Callithrix jacchus: one gene and its partners. The protein of the gene in region 1 binds, or shares a complex with, the protein of each later gene. Links are inferred from orthologs where the notes say so. Each region holds a gene or a part of one and is shown on either strand. Other genes may lie near its edges.

Region 1 (4,005 bases):
GGGGCTTACCACTGCACTGCCAGCAGAATGATACCCAGCCTCACCAACAGGCTCCATGTTCTCTTGCGTCCCTACCTTTGTTCTGTCGTTAGCTTCGGAAAATGAGTGCTGAAAGAGACCATCTGGTCCAATCTCACCTTACAAATGAGGAAACTGAGGCACGGACAGATTTGAGTGACTGACCAGCACCCAGTCAGAGATCAAGTTTGACTCATGAAAAGGAAGCCCAGAGCAGACTTGGGGTTGGTATCAGACAAGATCCAACCAGTTGGTCACCCGTTGAATACCCTCTGATCCCTAAAGTTATGAATCATTGAGTCCCATCAGGCATGGTCTCCTGTCGGAAGCCTCTGTGACGACCCAGTTGGGAGTCTGGACGTGAGCCTCTAGGTGACTGGGAATCTGTCTAGGAGTCCTGGCTCCCCTAGCATTTTAAGCAAACTCTAATCTTTGACTTTTCTCTATTCTCATCCCAAAGACTCGGTCCCTAGTAGGGGAGTGGTAAAAGTCTACCCTAGGAGGGTAAAGTCTGTACTGCCTGGGAGGCGCGATTCACCCACTCAGACAGCAGCCAGCAACTAGGCGCTGAGTCCAGAGTTTCCACCTACACCGCGTAGTTCACGTGCGGCACCTTAACTCCTTTTGACGCCAAATCCCAAAAACTTGAGGGCGTTTGGACTCGGCAGAAAGCCTGCTGGCGGCAATTACAGGACACGTTTCTCGAAGCCTTGAGGCGCGGTCTCTTTCTTCACCCTCCGCGCGGCGAACCTTGACGCGCATTCGGTGACCGGTCCCCAAACGTGACTTGGCATCAAGAGGACACAGCTCCCCTTACCGAGGGAGCTCAGGTCCCGGGCGCGCCGCGGCCCCGCCAGCTTTCCGGGCTGGCGCAGTCCTCGACCCGGGGCGACGGCCAAGCCAGCGAGGGCGGCGGGAAAGTGACGCTGGGCTGGAGAGGCGGGGTGGCGAGTGCTGCCCCGAGGGAACCGAGAGCGGCCTCAGCAGCCGGGTCTCAGGCTGGGCGAGGCAAGGGGGTCGCAGGCTGGGCTCGGAATACTGCCGGGGGTGCCCATCTGACTCCAGGACGCACGGAGGGCGTGGGGCAGGGGCTGGATCTGGGCCCGCCCTGGGTCTTGCCGTCCAGCCCCTCTCCGCCCTGGGGAGGGAAGAAGGGAGGGGAGAAGCCCGGGTCCGCCCCCAGCCTCAGCCCTGCCGAGGCTCTGCGGCGGCGGCGGCTGCTGGAGGGAGACGAGAGCACCTCCCGGAGCGGAGAAACCAGTTTGGCCGGTCCCGCCGTGCGGAGGGAGAAGGGCGGCTGCAGAGGAAGGGTGCACGGACGCGGGGCGGGGGAAGGCGGAGGAGCCACTGGCGAGCCGCGAGAGCCTGAGGTGCCGCCGCCAACTGGACACGCTTCCTGGGGCCCCCGGCCAGCCCCCGTGCGCCATGCAGCGCTAGCGCAGCGGCCGGGGCTGGGGCTGGGCGGGTGGTGGCAGTGGCCAGGTGCGCAGCGAGCGTTCGGAGCGGCGCACACCCGGTGGATGCCCCAGCCGGGGCCCAGCGAGCGCCAGGTAAGCAGAGGCTCGGCGCCGGGGCCCCCGACCTCCCCAAGCCCGCTGGCCGGGCAGGGTCCTGCAGGTCCCCTGGCGGCTCCCGCCGCTCTTTGGAGATCCTAGATGAGGTGGCAGCAGCTGTCCGCGCCCTCGGGCTCCCGAGCCCGCACAGGTGGCATTTGGGCGGAGGTGCTAGAAGCCCCCCGTGGCCTCGGGGTCGGCGACGCAAGGCCAGCTGGGCAGGCAGCGCTGCGGAGAGGTCTATGGAGTTTTCACCTGCCTGGAGGAGGAAACTCTCGGGGAGTGTTTGGGTTCTTCGATGGCTAGCTACACACTGTCCGGGGGTTAAGCCAGGCAGGGCTTGCGGCTCCTTGGGGGGTGCCGCTGGTTTCGGTGCGGTGGCCAGCGCCCCTCTGGGAGTCCCCGGTAACCGGCTTCTGCTGGGGCGCTCTTTGGGAGCAGATGCCAAGGTGTCCGAAAAGGACTTGGGGACCAAATGTATCTGACGGCGGCCCACCTGTCGGGAGGGATGGAGGGGTGAGATGGATCTCCTCCCCAGCTCCTGCTGCAGGACTGGGTACGCCCCAGACGTCTTCCGAGCGCTTTATTGTGGGATGGGAGGGGAGGTGATGGGGAAGAGAAACACTGTTTTTCCGGTGACTCTCGGGTCGTGTCCGCCGGCCCCGCTGAGATGGCTGCAGGCATCTCCTTCCCTCGCCAGTTTGATGCCCGACGCTGTCACCTCGCTGTGTGCACGCGGAGGGACAACTTGTTAGGGGGCTCGAGGAGATGTTTCAGGGCATGGCCCAGTGCTTTAACACCCCCCCAACCCCCACTTCTCCTTCTCCCCAAAGTACAAGAAAAGTCCTGAAGTGTCCGCCCAATTTTTACGAGGGAGGCGTGTGCGTGCAGTCCCTGCCGGGGTGGTGGGGGCGGGGGGAGGCTCGGAGCGCAGATCGGTGGCAGCTGTACGGGAGAGACTGGGATGCAGTACAATGCAAAACGGGGAGGAGGGTTGACACGCAAAAGAGGGACTTGGGCCGCGTTTCTGCCCAGTGAGTCCCGGCTCAACCCGACCCGACCCGACCCCCTTGGCCTGCACGCGCGGCCCGTGGGGGGCTGCAAGCCTTTCCTGGGTAGCTCCGGACGCCACCGAGTTCCTCTCCGGGAAACTGGTCTGCCTATTGGCGGGAGAAAAGATTAGCTCCCATCTTCCTGGTTGCATTGCCTTCAAAATTCTACCCCTACCCATGGGAAATTAAAAAAGAAAACACTAGTGGGATGTTTGGCGAACACCCGGCACACAGTAGGTTATCGAGGAAGGTTAACTACTTTCAGGAACAAGAGCTAAGAAAACGACGCGTGATAAAGCCTCCAGGGATAGTGAATGCGAGCCCATATCAATGGGGGACACAGCAGCAAATGTGAAGTAGAAGGCTAACTTTCACCGGCTAAGACATACTTTTGTGTTAAGCCTAAGATGCCATTCATTAATTCTGGGCCTACTGTTGAAGGTTTTATTAAATCCTATTATAAATGGATAGACTGTGCACAAGATGATTAATGCTTATTAGCTGATTACTTTCTGGGGAGAAGTCAGCCTGCCTGCAATTAACTCCTCCGAATTCTCTTAATGATTTTCATTATGTAGTAGAGCTTCCCTTGCTATAATTTTGGGGAAGAATATTAACCACTTTGTTCATTTGGCATTTTCCAGTGGCTGTATTTTAGCAACTTTTAGTGATTCTTTGGGTGGGTTATTTAGGGCCGAACAAGACTCCGTGGTTAATACTGTCCAACACAGATGCCACTTGTGTGAGCTCAGCTCTCTGGCTCCTTTCAAGGTTTTTTCTGGGTTTTAAGGAACGTACACACCTGCGTGCACTTGTTATTACATCTTAGTGATAGAACTGGGAGAGCTGTTGTTTTGTTTGTTTAATAGAGGTTTTAAAATAATGATTTGGTAAAGCAAATGGCTTCGTAAAAAGGAGACTTCAGTAGTAAGGCAAGTTCAGAATTGATTCCACGTTTAATCTGGTTTTCAGTCTAGGGGATCTTAGCTCTAATGGAGTCACTACCAGATCTGGCTGTAGAATATTCCTTTCCTTTCCTTCTGTCTATTCCTCTTTCTTCTTTCTTTCCCTTCATTTTGAAGCAAGGAGTAGTGGAAAACATATGGATTTAGATGTCCACAGATTTCAGTTCTTTTACTTGCTAATTGTATAAGCTTAAGTGAATTCTTAAATTTTCTGAACCCCTGTTTGCTCTTCTGTTGAGGGGGGAAGATATTATCAATCTCTTTGGATTGTTGAAAGAATTGAACTAGAGAACATATGAATGTTCTTTATACATAGTAGGTGTTTGAATGTTGGTTTCTTTCTTTATTAGACTGCTATCTAAAAATACTATTATTGCATGTATCTGCTGTATTTTTAATATTTTCTTGCCCCTGTAA
Region 2 (4,130 bases), on another chromosome or scaffold:
TAATTTGAATCTTTTGGTTCTTCAAGTAAAGAAATTGGACTCAAAATTATACTTAAGATCACAAACTACAGAATGACAGAGCTGGGATTTCAATCTGAATTCCTTGACTCTTCGGTGCCCTTTTAACCAGACTAAACTACAGCAGACTCTTGAGGCAACTTGAGATCAGAACACATGAGATCTATTTAAAAAATTTCTATTTCATCTACTTAATGTGAAGAATCTTACTTTATTCCAAAACTGAGTAAAATTTTAAGGAAAGTTAAATATTTACTTTTATACTGTATTAAATATTAATGGAAGTTGAGTTCTGAGAATACTAATTTATATACAATTCCAAATTACTGCTATTTTCATCTTAATATGTTAAGAAGTTTAAATAAAATCATTCAAATTTCTGACGTTAAATTATTTTCTTCCACTTTACTAACATCGCAGTAAGGATCTTAGTGTAGGGTGAAAGCTTAAAACTGGGAATCAAGACATCTTACTCTTAACTAGTTTACTGTCAAATCTTAACCTCTCTATATTTCTCATCTTTTGATTAAGGATCAGGAGACAGATCCTTAGTGCCAGACATCTTATTTACATTGCTTCTAATTCTCACACCTTAGAAGTCATGAATTATTCTACCTTTTGTGCAGGAAACTGAAGCTCAGAGAGTTTAAGGAAATTTTCCAAGAAACTGAGCTGGTTAGTAGCAGAGCTTGAATTTAAAACCAGCTCTGTCTGACCCCAGCCAATGCCCATGTTCCTCACATGACACCACTTTGCTCATATCCTAACGTAATGTGTGATCCTTATGTGGTTAGAACAATAAGTACTACATTTGCAGGATTATTAGGGAGATTAAAGTGATAAACTAAAATACATGCTAAAAAAACACACTGAAACACTTTTAGTTATTAAATTGAGAATGAATTTTTAGTAAAAAAAACTTTAAAACTAGTTATGCTATAGATAGTATTCTTAATAATGTTATCACTTATTAACGCCTAAGTAAGTAGGCACTGTAGAATTAAAAAATACATCAATCTTGCTTTTACAGATAACACTGCAAATTAAACTGGAACCCCATCACTATTATAGTAGTTAAAAATAAAATTACTCTCAAACTCCCATTAAATCACATACATAAGTAATATTTATTAAAATGTGTGTGTGTGTGTGTGTGTGTGTATAATATATATATAAAACAGAAGGAATCAAGAGAACTTGGCACTAGTTCCTGCCCTTTCAAACAGATTTAGAAAAAAAAATTCTCAGATAAGCAAGAAAAGATGAGAGATGCTTAATACTGGACACCTATACAGTATATATTAATACAGTGCACTGTCAACCATCTTCACCCCTGCAGATGAATAAAGATACTGTGCTTCTCTGACAGCGAAATGTTTACCCAATACAAGTTGTCCTGTCCTGTCTTACATACTCAGCAAGTTAATATCAGTAAAATGTTTAGTAGGCAGTGCACAACGTATTCCCTGAGTGTGGTCACTGGCTCTTTTTGTAAAGTTTAAAATCTACCAAAGCAAAACAAAACAACTATAGCACATGTAGGGCACATTAATAAATGTAACCTAAAAGCAAAACCGAAATTGAAATTTCAGGTTATCTTTTATGTATATCTTGCCCCACAACTAACATATCGAATTAGTTCAAAACGAAAAGTACTATGAGCATTTGTCATAAGTTTTCATATGTGACCTAATAACATGCGACAGCTTCTTTACATTGGAGTCGTCAACACCTCTATGACTCTGGTTCTTTTCCCAACAATGGCCAAGGTGTTAAGCTCTGTCTTGGGATCATCCCCACAAAGGTAATGACACTTTGACCCTGTCAATTCCCTCAGAGTTACATCTACCTAGCTACAACTGCATCCACTCCCACTTCTCTTTTTACCTCCATGAACAACCCCCTAACCCCCCAAGGAACTACACAAACCGCCCACTGAAGAAGCATTTCTTCACCTGACCCATCTTCTGCATTAAACATTCATTGCGTCTCAGCGTAAATCGCAAGCAAGACAAAGCTAGGACAAACCTGCAAATTCAGGAAACCCGTAGAAAGAGGAAGAAACCAGAGGAAGGGGGCGGGGGGTGGAGGGCGGCGCGGGGACCGCTTGTCACCCTTCAGGAGCTGAGAAGAGCGGGGCGGGCGCGTAGGACCCTCCTTCCGAGCAACGCCAACTCCCAACACAGCTCCCTCCCCTCACCTCGATCTCGCGGATATTGTTGGAGGTGACGAAGATTCCAATGCCAATGGGGATGAAGATGAGGCCGATGATGAAGAAAATAGGTAGCACCGTGCCAGCCGTGAGGATGGGCTGCCAAGCAGGCAGCCGTTGCTGTTTGAAGGCCGTGTTATCCGGTCTCCGGGTCTTCGCGGTGCCCCCCGGAGCACAAGGGGGCCCACCGTCCACTTCATCCTTCGCGTTATAGTTCATCGCCATCGGTCCCCGGGGCGCCGCTCCGCGACGCGCAGGTGGACCACCAAAGGGGTCCGCCTGCTGACCCTGACAGGAGCCGCTCGAGCGCCGCCGCCGTCGCCGCCGCCAGCGCCACCACCTCAGTCGCCGCCGCCGTGGAGCGGAAGAGGTGGGACACTCTTCCGCCGAAGGCCGCTGATAGGAAGCGAAAGTCAGCTGGAGACGCCAGTGGGAGGGAGAGAGGAAGGAGGGAGAAGATGGAGGGACAAGGGGAGGTGGATAGATGGGGGAAGGAAAAGGCGGACGTACCCTGATCATCTGTCCTGTGACGCCAAAGAATGGGGCTCCATCACTGGGGCGTGAAGCTACGTTGGCGCATGCGTGGCCCTGGAACGACGGAGAATCCGCGCCTGCGCTGTAGGCGCAACTTCGCTCTTATCCGTGGCTTTTGTTCGCAAACACCTGTCTGTTACTATGGGTATCGTGGCTACAGTAGGTCTGGATTGCTGGACAGCTTTTTCTTTATACCTCGAGGCTTTCTTTGAAGGAGTCGGAGCATTTACAAGGCCGCCTCAAGAGGGATTGAGTCGGCGGAGGACTAGCAACCTAGCAGTATTTGCTTAGGTTGTAAAACCGCGACTTTATCTAATTAAATAAATCGCCATTCACGGTGCAAATAGAAACTTGTAACAGAGGTGAGTGACGTGTACCCCTTTTGTCCTAAAGTCAAGAAGCAATAATGTGACCTTAGCTCTATTATCTTGCCGCTAATTAAGCGATTCTCATGTTTCTCCATTGATGATTTTCACCTTACTTTTCCTTTTCTTTTCTTTTGCGCATTGATAAAGTGTTTTGTAATACGCTGTAGCTTTTTCTTTTGCTGTTATAAAAACCCGAACATATAGCATTACTGCAAAATGAGATACTTCGTAAACACTTTAAAAGTGCCTAGTATTTAATGACCCAAGGAAATGCTCATGACATAAAAGGTGACAAAGTCAGGATACTAGAGTAGTGTAGCAACCGTAGAAGTATAATATAGGGCCCAACTAAAAAGTGAATAATGGTGACTTCAATTGACCGGGTGGAGGATTTTTTTTTTTTTTTCTGTTCTTTGCACTTTTCTGTATTTTCCAGAATTTCTATAATAGGCGTATGTTATTTGTAAAATTTAAATAATTTTATACAATCCGCATTATACTCACATCTTTGAAATCCAGACCAGAGAGTAAGTCACATCATTTGAAAACAAATAACTAAAGTTTTTTTTTTTTTAAGGCTTAGTCTGCAATAATGCCTTAAAGAAGGTAAACTGAGGAAAGAGAAACTAAAGAGTGCTTGGTCCTCATAATTTACATTTAAGCCGGGCTCCGTGGCTCATACCTGTATACCAGCACTTTGGTAGGCCGAAGCGAGGTAGATCACCAAAGGTCAGAAGTTCGAGACCTGCCTGGCCAACATGGTAAACCCCGTCTTTACTAAAAATACAAAATTAGCCGGGCATGGTGGCCGTGCCTGTAATCTCAGTTACTTAGGAGGCTGAAGCAGGAGAATCGCTTGAACCCAGGAGGCGGAGGTTGCAGTGAGCTGACATCCACCATTGTACTCCAACCTGAGCAACAAGAGCGAAACTCCATCTCAAAAAAAAGAAAAAAAAAATTTACAGTTAAATTTTTTTTCAAAATGACCACAAGTCGCA
Region 3 (4,202 bases), on another chromosome or scaffold:
AAAGTACTTCAAGATCTTGCACTGCCTTAAGTGAATGAGTATAATCAAATGAGTAGTAACTGGAAAATAGCTGTAATAGCAGGCACTGAAGGATTCTGACAAATACCAAATAATTGTTTGCTTTTAGCAAATAAACTGGTAAGATGATATCACAAAGGGCTTTTTTCCCTTTTGCCATACAAGGTTTTTTTTTTTTTTTTAAATAAAGCTATTGCTCCTTGGAATAACTTTAACCATATTGACTGATGTTAGTCAATCAACAAAATCAGCTGAATGCTTTTAGTTGAGTTTTAATGTCATCTCAAAGATTCAAATAATCTTGATTCTAGTTTACATATAAGACTATATATGCCTTTGCCTTGATTGAAATATGATTACTAGACATCAACAGATTTCATTTGAAAACATAAATTTTTTTTCCAGATCCAAGGAAAAAGATTTGAATGAAGCCCTTTCTAATCACACACACACACACACACACGCACACACACACAATTAAATGACAAAGAAGAATGAGCTAGGAGACATAGATGTGACTTTAGGGAAATTACTCTCCCTCAAAGATCTCTTCCAGCTATCTGATTACTATGTAAAGCATTTCCTCTGAACTGTACAAACTGGTCTCACATTTCCAAGTTTCTGCACAGTACCTGAATTTTATACTGAAATATCAAATGAATAACATAAACCCTGACTTACAAATCTGTATGCCAACTAGTTTTCCCCAGATAGTGATTTTTTAAAAATTCATTCAAGTCATCAAGAGCTTCCTACATTCAAGGCAGAGTGCCAGACCAAACCTGGAATATCATGGTTGTCACTGCCCCTGGGAACAAACTGCTATCGGAAAAAGTGAACTCAGGTGACTGCCCAACCTGGTTTAGGGTCGTGATTCCCAAATTTGAGAGAAAATGGGTATCTCCAGAGGAGTTTGTTAAAACACAGCTTCGAGGGTGTCACCCCAGCCTTACTGTGTCTGAATCTCTAGTTGGGTGTCTCCTAATCTAGCTGCATATTTAACAAGTGTATTCTCTCTCTCGCCTCCATGTCTCTTCAGGTCATGTGTGGGCCTCACTCTCCATTCCAACCCTCTCTCCAAAAAGAAAAGAACACCACCACTGTGCTGTAGTGACAAAAGCTCTGGACTCAAGAGTCAGCAGTCATTTGCCAGTTGCCTGATCTTAGTTACTTCACATTGCTAGGTCTCTCAATCTCTTTCTCTAATAGGGGTTGAACAGGAGTCTTCATAGGGATCCCTTCCACTCTCAGATTGAAGAACCTAACACGGCAACTCGGTGTCATGAAGGAGGTGGGGAGAATTTGCATGGATGTTTTACTCTGTAGTCAACATCCCTCCCCACAGCAAGACAGGCTAGCAAGCCCCACAAGGGCAAGGGGGTAATTCCTTTCTCTGGTCCCCTCATTCACAAAGGGAGGAAAAGCGAGGTGAGGTTGGAATCGGATGAGGGGCGAGGGGGAGATGCCAAAAGAAGCTCGCAAGAGTTTTGGCAAGAAGCAGGAAGGGTCCCTAGAAAGCTGGAATCACTCGTCGTCGTCGTCATCATCGTCCTGGTCCTGGTAGCGAATGTAGACGACCAGCATGACAAAGCCAGTGAGGATGCAGAGGGAGCCGACGACCAGGTACGCGATGCCCAGGAAGGGGTTCTTGCCGCCCATCCACGAGATGCTGCTGAAGATGAGGAGCTTGTGGCCGCCGAACGCGCGCACCGGGTAGTTGTAGGTAATATTGACGCGGTAGGCGCCCCGCGGCAGCCCGGCAGAGTAGTTGCCCTGGCGGATGCGCGCGTACAGCTTGCGAAACGTGGGCAGCGCCGCCGTGCGCATCCACACCACGAAGTCCTGGTTGATGAAGCCGGTGTTGTTGGGGTCGGGGCTGAGCTCGTAGACCGGCCGGCGCCAGTTGGGCGGAGGCACCGTGCCTTGGAAGGCCAGCGCCAGGCTGCCGTTTACCAGCGGCGGGTTGCGGAACTTGACGTGGTAGTCAGTCCACCAGGCGATGCCGGAGCGGTCGAGCGGCACCTCGACGTAGGGCCCGCCAGACTGGCGCTGGTGCCACAGCGAGAAGGAGTCGTTGAAGAGGCTGTTGGCGATGGCGCCGCAGGGCGCGATGGGCAGGCCGGCTGCGCTGCGCTGGTAGGGGGCGCACTCGTTGGCCGGGTGGCGCAGCGCGCTGGGCATTCCGCTCAGCTGCTCGTCGTCGCGGGACACGCCGTAGCGCCGGTTGTTCTGGTAGAAGTTGGTCAGCTCGTAGTAGAGGTAGACGGGGCCCTGGAAAAGCTCGGGCAGCGAGAAGTACCAGGCGCACGAGCAGGGGGGCGGCGGCGCGCGGCCCTCGCCGGCCGCGGAGCACACCGAGCAGTTGCCGGTGCCCTGGTCGCCGGTGTAGTCGTACTCCAGCTCCTTGATGCCGTTGGAGGAGTAGTAGAGGCCCAGGCCCAGGCCGATGAAGGCCAGGCCCGCGCAGAAGAAGAGCGGCAGCGCGATGCTGGCCGACAGCAGCGGCTGCCAGGCGGGGAGGCGCTGCTGCGTGAAGGCGGTGTTGTCCGGCTGGTGGGCGCCCCGGGCCGTGGCGCTCCAGGTCATGGCGGCCACGCTGGGAGTCCGACGAGCGTGCTTACCAGGGGGGGGCCCGCCGCGGGGCGCCTCCCCCTCCGCGGCGAGTTAGCCGGGGGATTGCTCACGGACTGGGTTTCCCGCCGGCCCAGGTGGGGTTTTGCCCGAGCCTCGCCTCTGCCTCCCGCACAGGTGAGTTTAGTTCCAGGTCCCACGGGCAGTGCCCACCCTCCCCTCCCCCCAGTTCCGCCTTGGCCCAGGTGTGCTCCGCCCCCGCGGATCACCGGGAGCCAAACCTCGCCCGCCCTTTCCGAGGTGAGCTTGTGGGTGTGTTATTTTTTTACCTTACCCGGTAGACTCAGGCTCGCCTTTCCTCTCCGTCCGGGTCAACGGACTCCAGCTCCTCCTCTCCGAGGTGAGTGGCGGTCCCGGGTGCCTCTGAGTGGCTCATACCTGGCTCGAGTATCACCTTCCTTTCCGCCTTCCAAGTGACTAGAGTTCCTGGGCCAGTCTCCCGAAATCAAAAGGCGCTCCGGCCTCCAGCAGAAATTTTTGCTGAGGGCTAGCACCGAGGTCCTGGCAGCTTGAAGATTTCAGATTGTTAATCCTGCTTTATTTGCGGGGAAAAGGTGACTCTAGACCATTTTGTCTTTAAGGTTAGCTTCAGAAACGCCTTTTGTTCAGCTTTCAGTCTCAAGTTGGAGTGTCCAGGGAATTACACTATGCTAGATCTGTTTCGAATTCAAGGCCTGCGTTCAAATTTTAGCTTTTTTTTTTTTTTTTTTTTTTTTAAAGGGAAAATGATTTTCTGGCCAGATCACCCAGTCTGGCTGTATAACTAGGAAATGTGGAAAGTTCTCTAAAAATAAAATGATCCTTAAAAAGAATCAAAGACTGGAGAGGTTCAGAGCCTTTAAATAACTCTCTAGCTAGTGTAGAAACCAAGAAAGGAGAAAAATATGCTGGACTACATGTGATTTCTTTTTCTTTTCAGAATATTTGCCTGACTAGAAAAAGGTCCAATCCAGGGTCCCAGAAGACCTAGCTGCTATCCTCAAAGACATCTGGAGTGTCTGGCCTAAGGAGGTGAACTACAAGGGTTTATAGGATTTATTATTAAAAAGAACTCAAATTGGCTCCCTACGTTGCCTGGGATTCTGGCTTTTTTATTATTTTTTTTCTTTTTAAATCTAAGTTGGTATAACACATACAAGGGAGTACTGGGACATTCTGATTTCTTACTAAGTCTTATCTAGGTATTATGTTCTTGCTTCTCTTCCAGCTTGTAAAATGCAAGTAATACAAATGTTTTCTCTATTACACTACATCTAGTGTAATATATTGTATCCAGAAGTCATTCAAAACCCATTGAAACTTGGAAAGTTAAAATGCTTGTTAAATTGAACAACACGAATTTTGTTTGCATCTCCCAAGTAAGTGTTCAGTCCTATGCTAATTAGACAAAAAAGAATCTTGACCTCAAGGCATTTGCAGTCTGATAGGGGACATATTAGGAGTAAGAAACAATCAAAACAGCCAATAGTAGTTATTAATCATAGCATGTAATTATCAAATTGCACTTTATAAGTCACACTAAAATTAAAAAGTAATACCGTTTTAAATAATGG

What was found. Proteins that work in one complex are often made in the same cells at the same time.
Region 2: the proteins of ATP8B1 (region 1) and TMEM30A are in contact, whole or in part, in a cryo-EM structure (PDB 7VGI), measured with the Homo sapiens proteins. The link is inferred for Callithrix jacchus from reciprocal best matches to the Homo sapiens genes ATP8B1 and TMEM30A. Residues at the interface, in NP_001361314.1 of Homo sapiens: Thr138, His359, Trp362, Glu363, Val366, Ser369, Ser370, Trp371, Tyr372, Leu373, Tyr374, Asp375, Gly376, Arg384, Ile388, Phe418, Asn420, Trp421, Asp422, Leu423, Tyr426, Lys430, Asp431, Thr432, Pro433, His939, Trp942, Arg946, Tyr968, Phe971; in NP_060717.1 of Homo sapiens: Lys24, Thr25, Arg26, Arg27, Pro28, Asn30, Phe33, Lys34, Gln35, Gln36, Arg37, Leu38, Pro39, Ala40, Trp41, Gln42, Pro43, Ile44, Leu45, Thr46, Ala47, Val50, Phe54, Ile57, Phe61, Ile64, Ile68, Ile75, Phe119, Tyr121.
Region 3: the proteins of ATP8B1 (region 1) and TMEM30B are in contact, whole or in part, in a cryo-EM structure (PDB 7VGH), measured with the Homo sapiens proteins. The link is inferred for Callithrix jacchus from reciprocal best matches to the Homo sapiens genes ATP8B1 and TMEM30B. Residues at the interface, in NP_001361314.1 of Homo sapiens: Trp362, Val366, Ser369, Ser370, Trp371, Tyr372, Leu373, Tyr374, Asp375, Gly376, Phe418, Trp421, Asp422, Leu423, Tyr426, Asp431, Pro433, His939, Trp942, Arg946, Tyr968, Phe971, Asn972, Gly973, Ser975, Ala976, Gln977, Leu1003, Gln1005, Phe1049; in NP_001017970.1 of Homo sapiens: Gly9, Ala10, His11, Gln12, Pro13, Asn15, Phe18, Thr19, Gln20, Gln21, Arg22, Leu23, Pro24, Ala25, Trp26, Gln27, Pro28, Leu30, Ser31, Ala32, Ala35, Leu38, Phe39, Phe46, Leu49, Leu53, Tyr109, Tyr111, Asn116, Phe117.

The regions. Positions count from the first base shown.
Region 1 is NC_133514.1:100,856,236-100,860,240, reverse strand, and holds the start of ATP8B1 (phospholipid-transporting ATPase IC), read left to right. Parts: upstream 1-1,205; 5' UTR 1,206-1,568; intron 1,569-4,005. UniProt on the Homo sapiens protein: Catalytic component of a P4-ATPase flippase complex which catalyzes the hydrolysis of ATP coupled to the transport of phospholipids, in particular phosphatidylcholines (PC), from the outer to the inner leaflet of the plasma membrane.
Region 2 is NC_133505.1:80,494,995-80,499,124, forward strand, and holds the start of TMEM30A (cell cycle control protein 50A), read right to left. Parts: upstream 2,801-4,130; 5' UTR 2,750-2,800; coding exon 2,219-2,749; intron 1-2,218. UniProt on the Homo sapiens protein: Accessory component of a P4-ATPase flippase complex which catalyzes the hydrolysis of ATP coupled to the transport of aminophospholipids from the outer to the inner leaflet of various membranes and ensures the maintenance of asymmetric distribution of phospholipids.
Region 3 is NC_133509.1:95,984,254-95,988,455, forward strand, and holds the start of TMEM30B (cell cycle control protein 50B), read right to left. Parts: upstream 2,801-4,202; 5' UTR 2,605-2,800; coding exon 1,543-2,604; 3' UTR 1-1,542. UniProt on the Homo sapiens protein: Accessory component of a P4-ATPase flippase complex which catalyzes the hydrolysis of ATP coupled to the transport of aminophospholipids from the outer to the inner leaflet of various membranes and ensures the maintenance of asymmetric distribution of phospholipids.